Linked DNA regions of Saccharomyces cerevisiae S288C. The gene in region 2 interacts genetically with the main gene of each other region. Each region holds a gene or a part of one and is shown on either strand. Other genes may lie near its edges.

Region 1 (3,944 bases), on a different chromosome or scaffold from region 2:
TATACACGAGTAGTGAACATCCTCTCTTCCTCATAAACATTATATTCATGTTCTGTGGAGGTGCATGCAATCTCATCACATGTCGCCGTGGCTGTCGTGACTGGAATATTGTGACCGATAGTATTAGAAGAATTGTTGTTATGCTTGTTATCACTGATATCATTCGCTAGATTTTTTTTGGTACTACTGCTGTTTTTCTTTGATGTAAAGAAAATTAATTTGCCATAACTTTTGGGTAAACTTAACGAGTTTGAGAAAGATGACGTAAAATCGGTAGAATTTTTCCTCAATCTTCCTTTAGGAACAATAAATCTTGCTTCAACCTTACTGACCATGGGAGAGGAAATAATATTAGAGTCGATTTTAGATATGTTTTCGGGCATCTTCGTGTCAATTTTCTCCATCCAGGAAGTGGTCAGCTTTTGCACGTCCGTGTTTTCATCATCCCGGGAAGATGCAGTAAAGTCTGTCCGAGGTACACTATCTGCAACAGGGAGAGAAGAAAAAACGGAATCATATGATTTATTTAGCGCCTCACCCGTCTTAGCAGCCATATTCACACCAACACTAGTGGGATCGCCTAACGAGACGGAATATGCCCAATTATCGGAATAGGCGTGTTCTGCAGTCAAGGAAGCTGTAGTTTTGTTATTTCTCTGATTATATCGCAGGATTCTAGACAACGACATCACTCCGTATGATAAGTAAAAGGATTACGTACGCTATTGTGAACGTTTTTGCAATCTATCTAGTTTTTCCTATTAACTTTTTTCTTTTCAAAAATTCATAAAGGCAAGGAAATATGTTCCGATTGACAATAAGTTCAGTGAGTGAATGAATGTTAATGAAAAGAATTCAATTTCCAGATTTTCGTATTTATTTTTTTTTTTTGCACCTTTCCTTATTGTGTGACCACAGCCGAAGGTGACGAAGGGATGGAGACTAGCCAAAGAGAGCCGGCTGTTAGACAAAAAAAAAAGCGGAGATTGTTTAACGGATACGTCTTAATAAGCAATCCGGCAGCACCGAGAATGTTTTTACCCTCTGTCCTTTTTCTTGGCGTTCCTATAATTCAAATAACCCCCAATATGCTAACAGCCGTAACCTTAAATGTTAGACATGTTACCCCTGTACGTCATTGCGGGGGGAGTGCATTGATTAAGGGGTAGTAGTAAAAATTCCCACCGGACTTGAAGTGCGGAAAAGTAGCTCCGATTTGGGGAAAAAAAAGTACCAGCCGTCTCGTCTTTCATGATAAAGTGAAATAGAGCAGCGGTAATAATGCGGCGCTATTGCTTCCGGAAGAGTTTACGTATTGGGCATCTTTGCCATTTCTTTTTTTGGCAGTAGCATGATTCTGCACGATTATTTATGTTTTTCCCTTTATTTTCTTTTTGTCTAAGATACATGGCGTATAAAATTAAATTTGTACTCATTTAAGTAGTTTGGCTCTATCAGGATGAATTCCTGCAGGAACAGGCTTGTTGTCTGTTCCAGAGGTTTGAGCTGCAGTGGCGGTAGTTTTGGCGATTTTCTTTTGGTTGCCGTCGTTAATCATCTTTGTCAACCTCTCTTTACGTTCTTCATCCAACTTGATGTTTTTGTTTTTCAATTTTTCTAGACGCTCTTGACTGTTACCACCTCCGCCAACAGTTAGCTCGACATTGATCTTCTTCTCTTTCAGTAAGGTCCCATGTTGTAATAAGGCAATGTCCATACGTCTTTGAATGCCGGTGCGATCTTTGTCAGCATCGAATTCCAAAAATGCAATACCTTTGTCAGCTCTGAGGCGGATCTGGTCGGGTGAACTATTTTTAAAATGGTTTTGCAATTCAACAGCAGTGATGTCTCTAGGTAAGCTACCGACAAAGACAATAAATCTGTTGCCCTTTTTACCATTTTTGCCCTTACCACCACGGCCTCTACGTGTTTTTCTTTTTTTCTTCACGGGTTCTTCACCATCATTTCCGGCTGCACTGTTGGGTCTTTTTCCTTCTGGTGCTTGCTCTTTTTTTACGTCTTTCTCTTGATCTTTTTCCTCCTTACTTTTTCTAAACTGCTGAGCTTTGAGCTGCTTCTTGGTCAACTTTTTATCTTCCTCGGACCCCATTTTAGCTGTAGACGTCTTCAATCTCTATCCTGTCCTCTACATTAGATTACTTTCTCATTTTCTCAGAAAACCTTTTAAGCTCATCGATTAAGAAGAAAAAAATCTTAGAAAATTTTCAGGAATGCCGGGTAAACGTATGGGGAAAGGACTTGGTGAATCGAGTTAATGTGGAGTTCGTAATAATAGTACTCTCATACCAAGTTTTCCATCCATAATTGTTTTTGGTTGCCGTTACTTTACACCATCACCTTTCGCCAATGTAATTGGTGGCTCTTTCCCTCTCCATCTTTTTTTATAATGTACTAAAATTAATACACGATAACAATTTTTTCGGGTTGTGTAAAAACTCTGAAAAATATAAAAAGTTGATGAAAGGACAGATTTAAGTATTTTGGAAGACAGCCGTAAATTCATTGGACTACAGAGCATAAAATCCCGTGATACGATAAAACTCTAACGATGTTCTCATATTCAGATTTCTGTTCTATCGGTACGGCCATGATCTTATCGGCCACAACGTTCCTAATGGGTGTTTTCTTCAGTAACATGCCATACGATTATCATCTTTTATTTAATCCTAACTCTACTCAAGAGCATTTCGATTTGGCACTGAGACATTACCAAATTTTACATGAGACTCCATTGCCGGTGATTGTTACTTTGTGCGTTGTTGCCGGTATTGGCTTAGTTGGTGGTACAATTAAGGTTTTCAAGCCAAACCCTGAACTGCAGATGTTTGAGTATTGTTCATTGGGGTTGTACGTGTTGGCTATCTGTGTGTTTCTCACTAATGTGAAAACAGGTATCGACTGTTCTGTGAGCCATAATTGGGGAGAAGTTACGGAAAATCAGGGTTTGGCAGTTATTGCTTCCTCCAACATAATTTTATTAGTTATGTTTGCCGGTGTTATCATCCTACAAATTGGTTTGTGGTACAGTAACTGGGATTTGCAAAAAAGATTAAAGGAGTTTTATGCTCAAGAAGAAAGAGAAGCTGCCAATGCCGGTAAAAAGACTGAGAAAGTTGACAATGCGAAAAAGAATGATAACAAATCTAAAGGTGCTCAAAAGAGGAAGAACGCCAAAAAATAGGCCATAATATTTTTAACATTTTCTCTTTTTGTCCCTCTTTTCCCGTCTGTGACGAAACAGACGATTATACGAATCTAGTTGTATAGTAAGATCAATATTTATTATATAAATACTGTTGAATAAATAAAACTCTATCTGCTTCGTGCATAAATTTACAAATAATTCCAAAGAAATAGCAACAAGTACCAGCCTTGTTTAGAAGTACGAAAATCTTGGAATCCACTTTTTTCTATTTTTAAATAATTTCTCTCAAAAAGCTATTGGTTTGCTGAATATTTGGCCGAGTAATAGTAGACGCACTGGAACTTGTTTCTTCAATGGATGACTCCGCAGATTCATTGTATGACGATACGTATGAAAATCTCCCGGATTCGTGATCCGCCATCCCATAATAAGGATGTGCTATATATATACCGTCTGAGGAACTAGCTCTGTGTAAATCTCTACCATTTTCAAAGGAATCTCGTTTGCCCTCGCCGTTGGTTGTTACTTTATAATTAAGGACATTTAGGAACGGATTTGACGGTGCTTCTGTTTCTGTTACCTCATCACAACTTACCCTCTTGCCAATATCATGGCTAAAGCCCTTTTTGCTGTGATTTTTCACGTTTCGTCTGTTTCTAATAATTATGAATCCGATAAAAATTACTATTACAACTCCAATGACAACTCCAACCGTAGAACCGACAATAACTCCGGTCCTTCTATTATTGGCATCTGAGGTATCTTGAGTGTTTAGTGC
Region 2 (4,679 bases):
ATATCGGCGAGGAAGGATAAACGGCATATAAAGCCCGTGCATCTACTACCGTTGTCATTATGTTTGATTTTTTGGTTTTTTTGTTATTTTCATAGAAACATATTGAACCTTTCGAATTTTTCTTTTTTTTGCCAGACTGTGGAGAAATAACAGCATAACAACGTTTCCATGGCATACCTGTCCCGAATCTTACGCTAACCCAGTCCTCATAAGTGAATTTTGTATCTGCCATAACAACTTTGATATCACCAAGTTTAACACCTCTGCTTGACAAAAATGAGCCCGTGTAGGCCTCTTGCAACGCCGTAAACTCGAACAAACTAAGCCTAATTGCTGCGTTCCAAGTTTTGAATGATTTTGAATTTTTGAATTTTAAGAAATACCTGTTTTTTAAAGTTGTTGAAACAACAAGAACATTGTCTAGATCTTTCTTTGTCTTTTCGTTCTCTGATGCAATGATTACCTGATCATTAGCGTCCAAACTCCTCACAGAAGCATCTGTAAAATTGATAAAAGAAGGTCTCGATGCGGCTTTTTTCATGGTTGATGTGTTCTTATTATTCTTGGAATCTGATAATTCTTTTGCATCCCATAAAGCCAGCTGAGTTCCTAGCAACACACCATAGCATTCTTCCCACTGACGCGCGGCAGGTGTTCCGTCTGTCTTCAAATCATGTAATATCAAGAATATACCATAATGGTATCTCCTATGAGCCTGTGCAGAGAGTAAAGTAACGATTGGTACTAGTTCTGGTGAGATATCACCATTAATAGAGTGTTCTTGCGGAAGATCTAACGTAGGGCTCCCAGGAGTGGATATTGAGTTACTGAAGAGTCTTGAAGCTGATGCTGATAAACTTCGAAGCCCTTGGTCGAATTTGGGAGAGCTCGGAGTGGATGGGCTCTCATCATTTTTGAAAACTTTTGGGGGAGCAGATAACTTTGGGGACTTCACACCAGAGAAAATCCTTTTCATTTCTTACTGTAGCTTCTTGGTGTTCTTGCAGTTACTTGTTCTTTTATTGCCACGCTTTGGGACTTCAATTTTGGTTTTCTTTGATTTCCGTTTTACGAATATCGTTTAGTAAGAATAAACAGTGCCAAAAAGACCAAATCGGCAAGGCGCTAGGGAAATGATACTGGCAAGTTAATTAGCAATATTAAGTGCCGTTTGCAGTTGTAAAAAAACTTTTCCAACGAGCTCTTTATCCTTTGTCTTTGCCAAGAGTTCTTCCACGTTTTGTTTATATCATATTGAAATTTTGTTCACCGTTCAGGGTCCGAATTAGGTGAAATATTCAAAGACTGAGCCTCGTTCAGATGACTTCCGAACCATTATTTCGCGTGGGGGAAGGATAGAGGTGCAGTCGAATTAATCGCTAACTCGATTGTTTCTATATCGTATATTGACTGTTTATTATACAAAGAGGATGCCAAGTAGACTTAAACACTATAAAATATTCCAAGCATCTTCAGCGCCATGGCAAAATTTAGAACATGCAACTGAGGCAGACAATGGGTAATTGGACAAGCCGACTTTTTCGTCGACGTATTCATCCGCAAAGTTATCTTTACCTCTTGCCATGGCACCAACAAAGACACATATACTTTCATCATCGTCTAGTTTTTCGATGTAATCTTGAACGCGGATAACTGGTGCGTCAAAGGATAATGTCACCTTACGGCACTTAGTAGGTAGGTGATCGGTAATTGGGTTCTTAATGACTTTAAGTAACTTTTCTTCAGAATTTACCGATCTGATAGAAAGCTTATGTAGTAACTGAACCATTAAACCTGAAAATCTTTTGAAAGTTCTTGGTATACGAACAGTGGGGTTAACCTCGATCAGAATTCCTCGACTTGTTTGAATATAGACCTGCAGCTTTCCGGCTTTGTTGATTGGAGAATCTAGCAACGTCAAAAGACATTGGTGGGTAATATCAGGTCTTGCTTCACTAATGTCTCTACCCATTTTTTTTAATAAACCTTGATGGTCGTCACAGTTCAAAAGGACATATTTGTCACCACCAGGCCCGTTGGACGATATCTTGTGTGTCTCGAGGGATGCCATCGCTAATACCACAATCATCCGCTTAGTAATCTTATCCTTTGATGTCAAGACAGGAGGTGCTTGAGGAACCAAAGAGGCCGGTAATGCCTTCTGATCACCACCTTTGAGGGCGTCTCTAACTCTGGAATCTTCGACCATGACCTACGATTTTACGGGTTTTCTTCTTGGTGACTAGATATCTGGTAACTGGGTTGCACTAACTTTGCTCCCTATAACGAATGATGCTGGCAAAAACAGTTCAAGACATCTCTGTATATATTCATCGAACAATAATTTTTCACTTTTTCCGGTCATGAATTACGAAACTATCAATTCTACTTTTCCCGTAAGCACTCAAAGGCGTTACATATGAATAAAGATATATTAAAAAAAGGCTGGAGATTTGTTAACTAATTGTTTAGAAGTTTTTTTGCAGTTGGTTATTATATAAGGTCTCTAATTATTGAGTTTTCATTTAAAGAAATAGATCTTAGTATAAAAATTAAGCAGAAGCCTTAGAAGCAGAGCCGGTTTGGAAACCGTTCTTGAATCTTCTTGAAACGTGTTTCAAGTATCTCATTCTACCAGTACCAGTAGTGTGTCTTCTCTTAGCCTTGGCACCCCAGTTGTAAGATCTGGTCTTAGCAGCTGGATAACCACAGGAGGAACAGGTCTTCTTTTGAACATGGAAAGAACGACGACCACATCTGTTACACAAAGTGTGGGACTTGTTGTGACGTTTACCGAATGAAGGAGTACCCTCTATTTAAAAAGAAAATCAAATTGTTGTGCAATTTGGTTAAGTTTGTTAGTACAATTTGCTTTATCTTATAGTTACACTTTTTTCGTGACTGTTACAACGCCATTGAAATTGATCCTTTCGAGTTCCCTCAGGCATACAAGCAGAATATTTCTTCTATACGGTAAATTTGTTGTCATGCGCATGTCTTTCGTTCACTATTCTGTCTTCATACAAGTATACCAGTCTCGTATCGTCCAGTCTTGCTAAGTATAAATTTGGTGTGCATGCGTTCCGATATTTCTCTTCAGATAATCATAACATTTCTCCACGGTCGTCAATAACAGGTTCACAGTTTTATTCTCAATGTCCTACTACATACTACCCATTTTTGTCTATATTATTTGTATGAGGCTTTAGCAAATACCTCTTAAAAGTAAACATTTTTGAAATTTAATAGTACCCTCATATAGAGCATTTCTCATTCTTACACTTGTAATATTGACGGTGATGAGAAAGCTACCAGGAGAACATCAACGTTTGGAGGAGACAGACCGACGGACCACACTTCACCAGTATGGCATCGCCCTGCCTACCATCAGCCTAGAGAACGGGCAGACGGATTGACTTCCCTTTCCCCAAGGGGCCGCCTTCTTGTTGCCGGCCTGCCGAAGTGTGTTTTAGAATTTCTTCGAAAGAGAATAGTCTCGACAACGTTTTGTCTTGGAAAACCTTTTGTGTACGGATGTTTAGTTAATAATAATGTACAGATGTTAATATGGTTTTTTTTTTTTGATATGAAAACGCCAAAACGCGAAAAAAAAATCCCGTGGCCCTTTTTTCTTAAGTTCATCTCTATGGTTTGCTTTCGTGTTTTGATGAGAATGAACAGCGGCAGTCGACGTAAACTAAAATTCATCAATGGAAACTCTTTCTCTACTTTCATTCATTTAGAATTGAATTATAGCAATCTACTTTACGTACAAAAGTCCATATACATCTGCCACGACACATCAAAGATTAATAATCACAAGAAGGCATGAGCTCGCAATTTCCTTCGTCCCCCTACAGGACAGTGGATCCGTACTCTCCACCAAATTACAAACAGCAGCCTAATTGTCCCTCATCCAATTATGAGAAAGCTGGTAAAACTGCGTCAGAATCAATTGGAAATTTCGGGAAAGGAGATTATCCAACTCCATTTCCTTCTTCCAGTATAGGAAGGGTTTCGTCTCCCGTTAGGTCGAATAAGGTTGACGCCATCCCTTCCTCTCCAGCTTTTCCTGGCCAGTTGGCAGAAACGTCACCCAAGTTTTCTTCCAAACTTTCTTCTCCTTCAAGGCATACTAGAGTCATCAATGCTGAACTAGATCCTAGCAAGATCAGCACCATTACTGTAGGGCGCAATAGTTCGCAATGTGATGTTGCGCTCTGTAAGAATAAGTTCATATCCAGAGTACACGCTAGTATAACTTATTTACCACAAACAAATGAAGTGAAGATTCACTGCTTCAGTATGAACGGATTAATCGTTACCTATCGTAAGCAATTTGATTGTTATCAATTAAAGGATACCATGAATAACAATAATAGGGCATATAGGCTTGTTCCCAGATTCTCTAACGAAAAATGTGTTAAAGAAATTCAAGACGAGGGAGGATTCATTAATTTCACTCTGGAAGAGGGAGACACCGTTTATATGACATATTACAAGGGTATCATGTTGGATTTTAGGCAGGTTTTACTTCGCATTTCGTTAAAAGAAAAAAACTCTTCTTCAGAGCCGTTAAGATTCGAGAAGAAAGCTGAATTTGAAAGTGAAAGTGAAACGAAACATATGGGTAGTATAAGGAAGCATCCATTGATTTTTACTGACACTTCGATGGACAG
Region 3 (4,535 bases), on a different chromosome or scaffold from region 2:
CGACAGTCTCTGTCAGGTCCAATAAGCTTACCAATGCATGTTGGGAACGACATGGTAAATAGGTTGAGAAATGACTGGGAGTATATCAGATTCGAAGATAGAAGGAATTCGCTGCCAGATTCCTCATTTGATAAAGTCGAAACACCTCCAAAACCAATAAAAAAAGATGTCCGGTTTGCAAAAGAAGTATGTTTAGCAAGCACTTGGTCATCGAATGCATATGAGAGAGCTAATCCGGAATTCATTATGAATCGCCACAGATTGTTGTGGATGATGAAAGTACATCCAAGCATGAATAGTGCCATGAATGAGATCAAACTTGAACTTAACTCTTACAAAAAAAATGAGATGGTTGTCCATGAGAACAGCAAGTGCTTTACACATTATTTAATTTGAGTTATTAACGTAACATAATCCAGTTTATTTTTTGCAATAGAAGGCGTCATACATATTTATATATCAATGTATACATTCCATTCCAGTTACTTCTTTTGCATCTTGCTTCCTGTTTACCTTGACCTCGAACCTATTATTTGTCCGCAATGCGCCTTTGGGTGAAAAGGGATTTCGTTTCCATTTTAACTGTACATAATGTAAATGTAGAAAAGCGTGGTTCTTAAAGGATTTACGGTTCAATACGCTTTTATAAACCTGCTGGTGCTCTAATTACGAATGAAACATGGACCAGGCAAGAAATTTCTACAACACAATTTTAAAATCGTCGCACCCGTTGCTACTATCATTTCATCTGGCAGGTAAGGCAGTTCCCATTGTATTTTATATCATAGGATCAATGTTTTTGAATTTCACACCTCAATTCATCACTGTCGTTCTTTTACTTTCTTTTGACTTTTACTTAACAAAAAACATTACAGGTCGGAAACTGGTCCAATTACGCTGGTGGTATGATTCTACAGATGTGAACAAAGATTCTAATTTTACTTTCGAATCATATAAGCAATATGCGCCGGGCCCACCAATAAATGCCATCGATTCTAAGTTATTCTGGTGGTCGATGTATGTGACACCCGTAATCTGGGGTGTCTTCGCTGTGTTGTGTCTTTTAAGACTGAAAATATTCTACCTGATTTTGGTCATTGTTGCAATGTGTCTGACCGCCTGGAACACGTATGGATTTCGTTGTTGCGATAGATGGGAGCCCAATAGTGGACAATCTGACGGTCAAGATACTAATAATTGGTTCGCTCTTCCTTCTGTTCCGGGCTTTGAAAATCTTTCAAGGCTGGCTAATATCCAATCGTTTTTCCAGAGACAATAAAACCTTGTCCCTCATGTGAACATTGTGGAGTACTTCTTCTAGATGATTTTTACTTTACGCAATGTACTACAGGAAAAGAATACAATTATATGTATAAATATAGTATACAAAAGAAAAAACAATATTAAAATATGAAAATGACGGATGAAGTCGTTATCTTCTTTTATAAATACAGGGCTTCAAGAGCCATTTTCCTTCGGCAATTTTCCGTCTTTTCTTTTCTAATTCTTCCTTCTCAGTTTCAACTTCAATAAACTTTTGTCTTCTTTCCAATTTCTGCCTTCTCTCTTCAATAATCTCCGCAGGTGGCTTGAAAAATTCGAATCTTGTAAACATCTTATTCTCGTCGAAGGTCTTTTTGTGAAAAAATCCCATCAGCTTCAAAGCGTCTACAAATTCATTACCTTTGCCGTCACTAAACCTTGATTTAATTTCTGCGATCCATAATTCACCCCTTGGCGCTAAAATCCTATAAGCTTCTTTTATGAAATCGAGGAAATTTGTACCCATTAGAGCCAGGCAGAAGACCACTATAGTACAGGACTCATCTGGTAGCGGCACATTTCTAATATCTGCCACAGTTATTCTTTCGTTAGCTTTCTTCAAATCAAAACTGTGGACTTTATGGCGTCTTTTCAAATATTTCTTCGCTTTCTTATTGTAATTTTTGAAAAAATTGTTGATTTCTAATGCTAATTGAGCTTCACCACACCCCATATCAGCAATAACTATTTCTTTACTATCCTTAAGACCTGGTAACCCACCTGGAGCATTCACAGGTTTCATGCATCTATAACGAATTTGGTCAACAAAAACATCAACTGGATTTTCCGGCCATGCTTGCACTTGTGATCTAAAACCATCATGATATTCGTCAAATAATTGTGGTTGTTCTTTTATTAATTTCAAAGCTTCATCAGAGCTAATTGTATACAGTTGTTCATTGATCCATCTAAATCTAGAACCAGTCAGTTTAGCCATCATCTTTTGTTGTAAAGGGGTTAGTTGCTTCTTTGTAGGTTTTTCAATATTTTCTTTTACTTGCATCAGAGGGGCTTCTTCATCGTGCTTGCGTTTCTTGCTCGTTTCATTTTGATCACTTTTCTCTTGGTTTTTTTTTGGGATGTCTTTGGCTACTGATCCTTCGGAAGGAATGTCTTCCACTTGTTCCTTCAACTCAGCCTCTGTCTCTTCTTTCAACTTCTGTTCTCTTGTAAGTTTGCCATTTTTTCTATTATTTTTTTTTTTATCTTTTGAAGACTTATTAGTCTTGTTATCAAAAGCGACGGTTTTTGTCTTAATAGACCAACCTTCTACGTTAAATAAGGCCATATAAAATTTCGTTAACGTCCTTATTTGTTTGATATAATATATATACAATATATGCATAAAGTTATAGTATCTTATTTTGAGCTCATCGCAAAATTTTTCAGGCCTAGAGAGATGCGCCGTTATTGACGATGCGAGTTTTCTAACAAATTATGAATATGCTGCTGCGTATTCCAAATGTAATAATATTCCACTGTTTTGGTCCTCCATACCATTCTTCGGATCAAGATCAATCCACCAATTTTTTAGTACCTCAGGATACTGTTTCTTTGTCCTTTTAAGACATTCTTTGAAAACATCAACGATGCCGTTCGTTGTTATGTACGGCAAATGTAGCTTTTCCTGAACATGACTTAATTGCACAGTGCCTGTATAACATTGTAGCTTCATTAGAACTGATATACGTTTTTCAGCATATTCAAAAAGATTTTTTAGAGGAAGCAAATCAAATGTCTCACTTGTTTTATCTTTTAATCCGATCAAACCCTGGCTGACTAGACGATTAACCAGGTCTCGAAACGCTTCCTTTTCCAAAGAGTCAAAAGATTTCATGACGCCAACATTTTGTTGTTGAAACAAAAACGATGCTAAGCTAGTTACTACGCTGCGTACTTCCTTTAGTTTGTAAAGGTCAGAATTAGAAATCTCTTTCATTTGTAGTCCTAATAGGATCAACATCAAGTTTGACTTTGCTGATGTCCTATTGGGAATCATCACAGGTAGATTAGCGCTTTGATATTCTAGTTTTTTTAACTGTTCGTCATTGCCGTTGTCAATTTGATCACCTGAATTCAAAAAGTGAGTTTCAGGAAAATCCTTTAGCGACGATACAAACCGAAATGACAAGGAATGCACACTATTCGAAGTATCTGTGCTATTGTATGGACTAATAATTTCTAATTCATCCTTCAAGCGTTCTTCTTGCAGTTGCTCGATGAAAGTAGTTTCATTTCTTTTACTTTCTGGGGTTTTGTACCCTATACCTACAAAATCCGGGTTTACTACCTCAATCTGTGATGTCTCAGGTGTCCACTCTTGCTCTTGCGTGAACAATTCTCCAATTACAAAATCGCTTAAGGACCAAGGCGTGTCAAGTTGCTCACGCATGTTCATTGTGATTTTCCAATGATCTATTTCTTCCGTTAAACTGTAGCATAATCTTAAATATTCAACTTGAAGCTCTTGATAGTTCAAACTTGCTTGCCCGTAGACATGAAGAGTTAAGCCTATCAAATCGGTTATGTTCAACCCCCATGATAGGATGCTATCCTTCTTAACTTTACATGTTAAGAATCTCATGTCACTAGTATAACCCACCAATGAAGAGTCTGAAGTACAATCGTCCAACTGAAAAAAAATGTATTCTTGTTTCCCAATCCATTTGAACTGGAGTCCAATGATGCAGCCAATAAGGTGTATTTGCTGTAAAGGATGATTTTTCCAGAACAACATCGACAACCGCCTATCATAATACTTTTCGCAAATTTGCAAAGAAACTCTCATCCGGTACTTTAAATCTCCAACAAATATTCGAACGTCCTCTGTCCCACTATAATAACTGTTGTATTTGAACAGCCTTGGAATATAATAACAAACATCGCCTTCTTGATGAGCTATATGTCCGTACTTATCCATGGCTCCAACCCATTATTAAAAGCCAGCTTATTGCTCTTTTTTCGCACAGAAATGGAATATCAACAAGCAGGATTTCATATATTCCAATGCTTACTTCTTTTTCCATGCCTTTACATACTTCTTTTTGGTGTGATTCGTGGTTTTGTTGTTAGAATAGCTGCTGCATATTTCCGTTCTGAGTGACTTTGCCCATCGAAGTCAATTACTTGAAAGTAAGAAATTATCAAAACCAATAGCTGCTTAAAAATCAGTTGCAAGATTTGAATGAAATCAGCAAAGTTTGATCAATCGT

What was found. A genetic interaction does not mean that the proteins touch.
Region 1: of EMG1 (region 2) and NOP6, a mutation in one rescues a mutant of the other (synthetic rescue), as found in Saccharomyces cerevisiae (one study listed by BioGRID).
Region 3: mutations in EMG1 (region 2) and RRP8 are lethal when combined (synthetic lethality), as found in Saccharomyces cerevisiae (2 studies listed by BioGRID, with this or other methods).

The regions. Positions count from the first base shown.
Region 1 is NC_001136.10:75,857-79,800, forward strand, and holds NOP6 (Nop6p), read right to left. Parts: upstream 2,111-3,944; coding exon 1,433-2,110; downstream 1-1,432. Other genes in the region: serine/threonine protein kinase PRR2, read right to left, coding at 1-689; SHR3 (Shr3p), read left to right, coding at 2,570-3,202; YDL211C (uncharacterized protein), read right to left, coding at 3,438-3,944. UniProt on the Saccharomyces cerevisiae protein: Predicted to be involved in rRNA processing.
Region 2 is NC_001144.5:521,162-525,840, reverse strand, and holds EMG1 (18S rRNA pseudouridine methyltransferase), read right to left. Parts: upstream 2,210-4,679; coding exon 1,451-2,209; downstream 1-1,450. Other genes in the region: SKG3 (Skg3p), read right to left, coding at 1-976; 60S ribosomal protein eL37 RPL37A, read right to left, coding at 2,553-2,812, 3,172-3,178; TOS4 (Tos4p), read left to right, coding at 3,829-4,679. UniProt on the Saccharomyces cerevisiae protein: S-adenosyl-L-methionine-dependent pseudouridine N(1)-methyltransferase that methylates pseudouridine at position 1189 (Psi1189) in 18S rRNA.
Region 3 is NC_001136.10:610,149-614,683, reverse strand, and holds RRP8 (25S rRNA (adenine645-N1)-methyltransferase), read right to left. Parts: upstream 2,612-4,535; coding exon 1,433-2,611; downstream 1-1,432. Other genes in the region: AFR1 (Afr1p), read left to right, coding at 1-396; TVP23 (Tvp23p), read left to right, coding at 680-1,279; STN1 (Stn1p), read right to left, coding at 2,759-4,243. UniProt on the Saccharomyces cerevisiae protein: S-adenosyl-L-methionine-dependent methyltransferase that specifically methylates the N(1) position of adenine 645 in 25S rRNA. Required both for ribosomal 40S and 60S subunits biogenesis. Required for efficient pre-rRNA cleavage at site A2.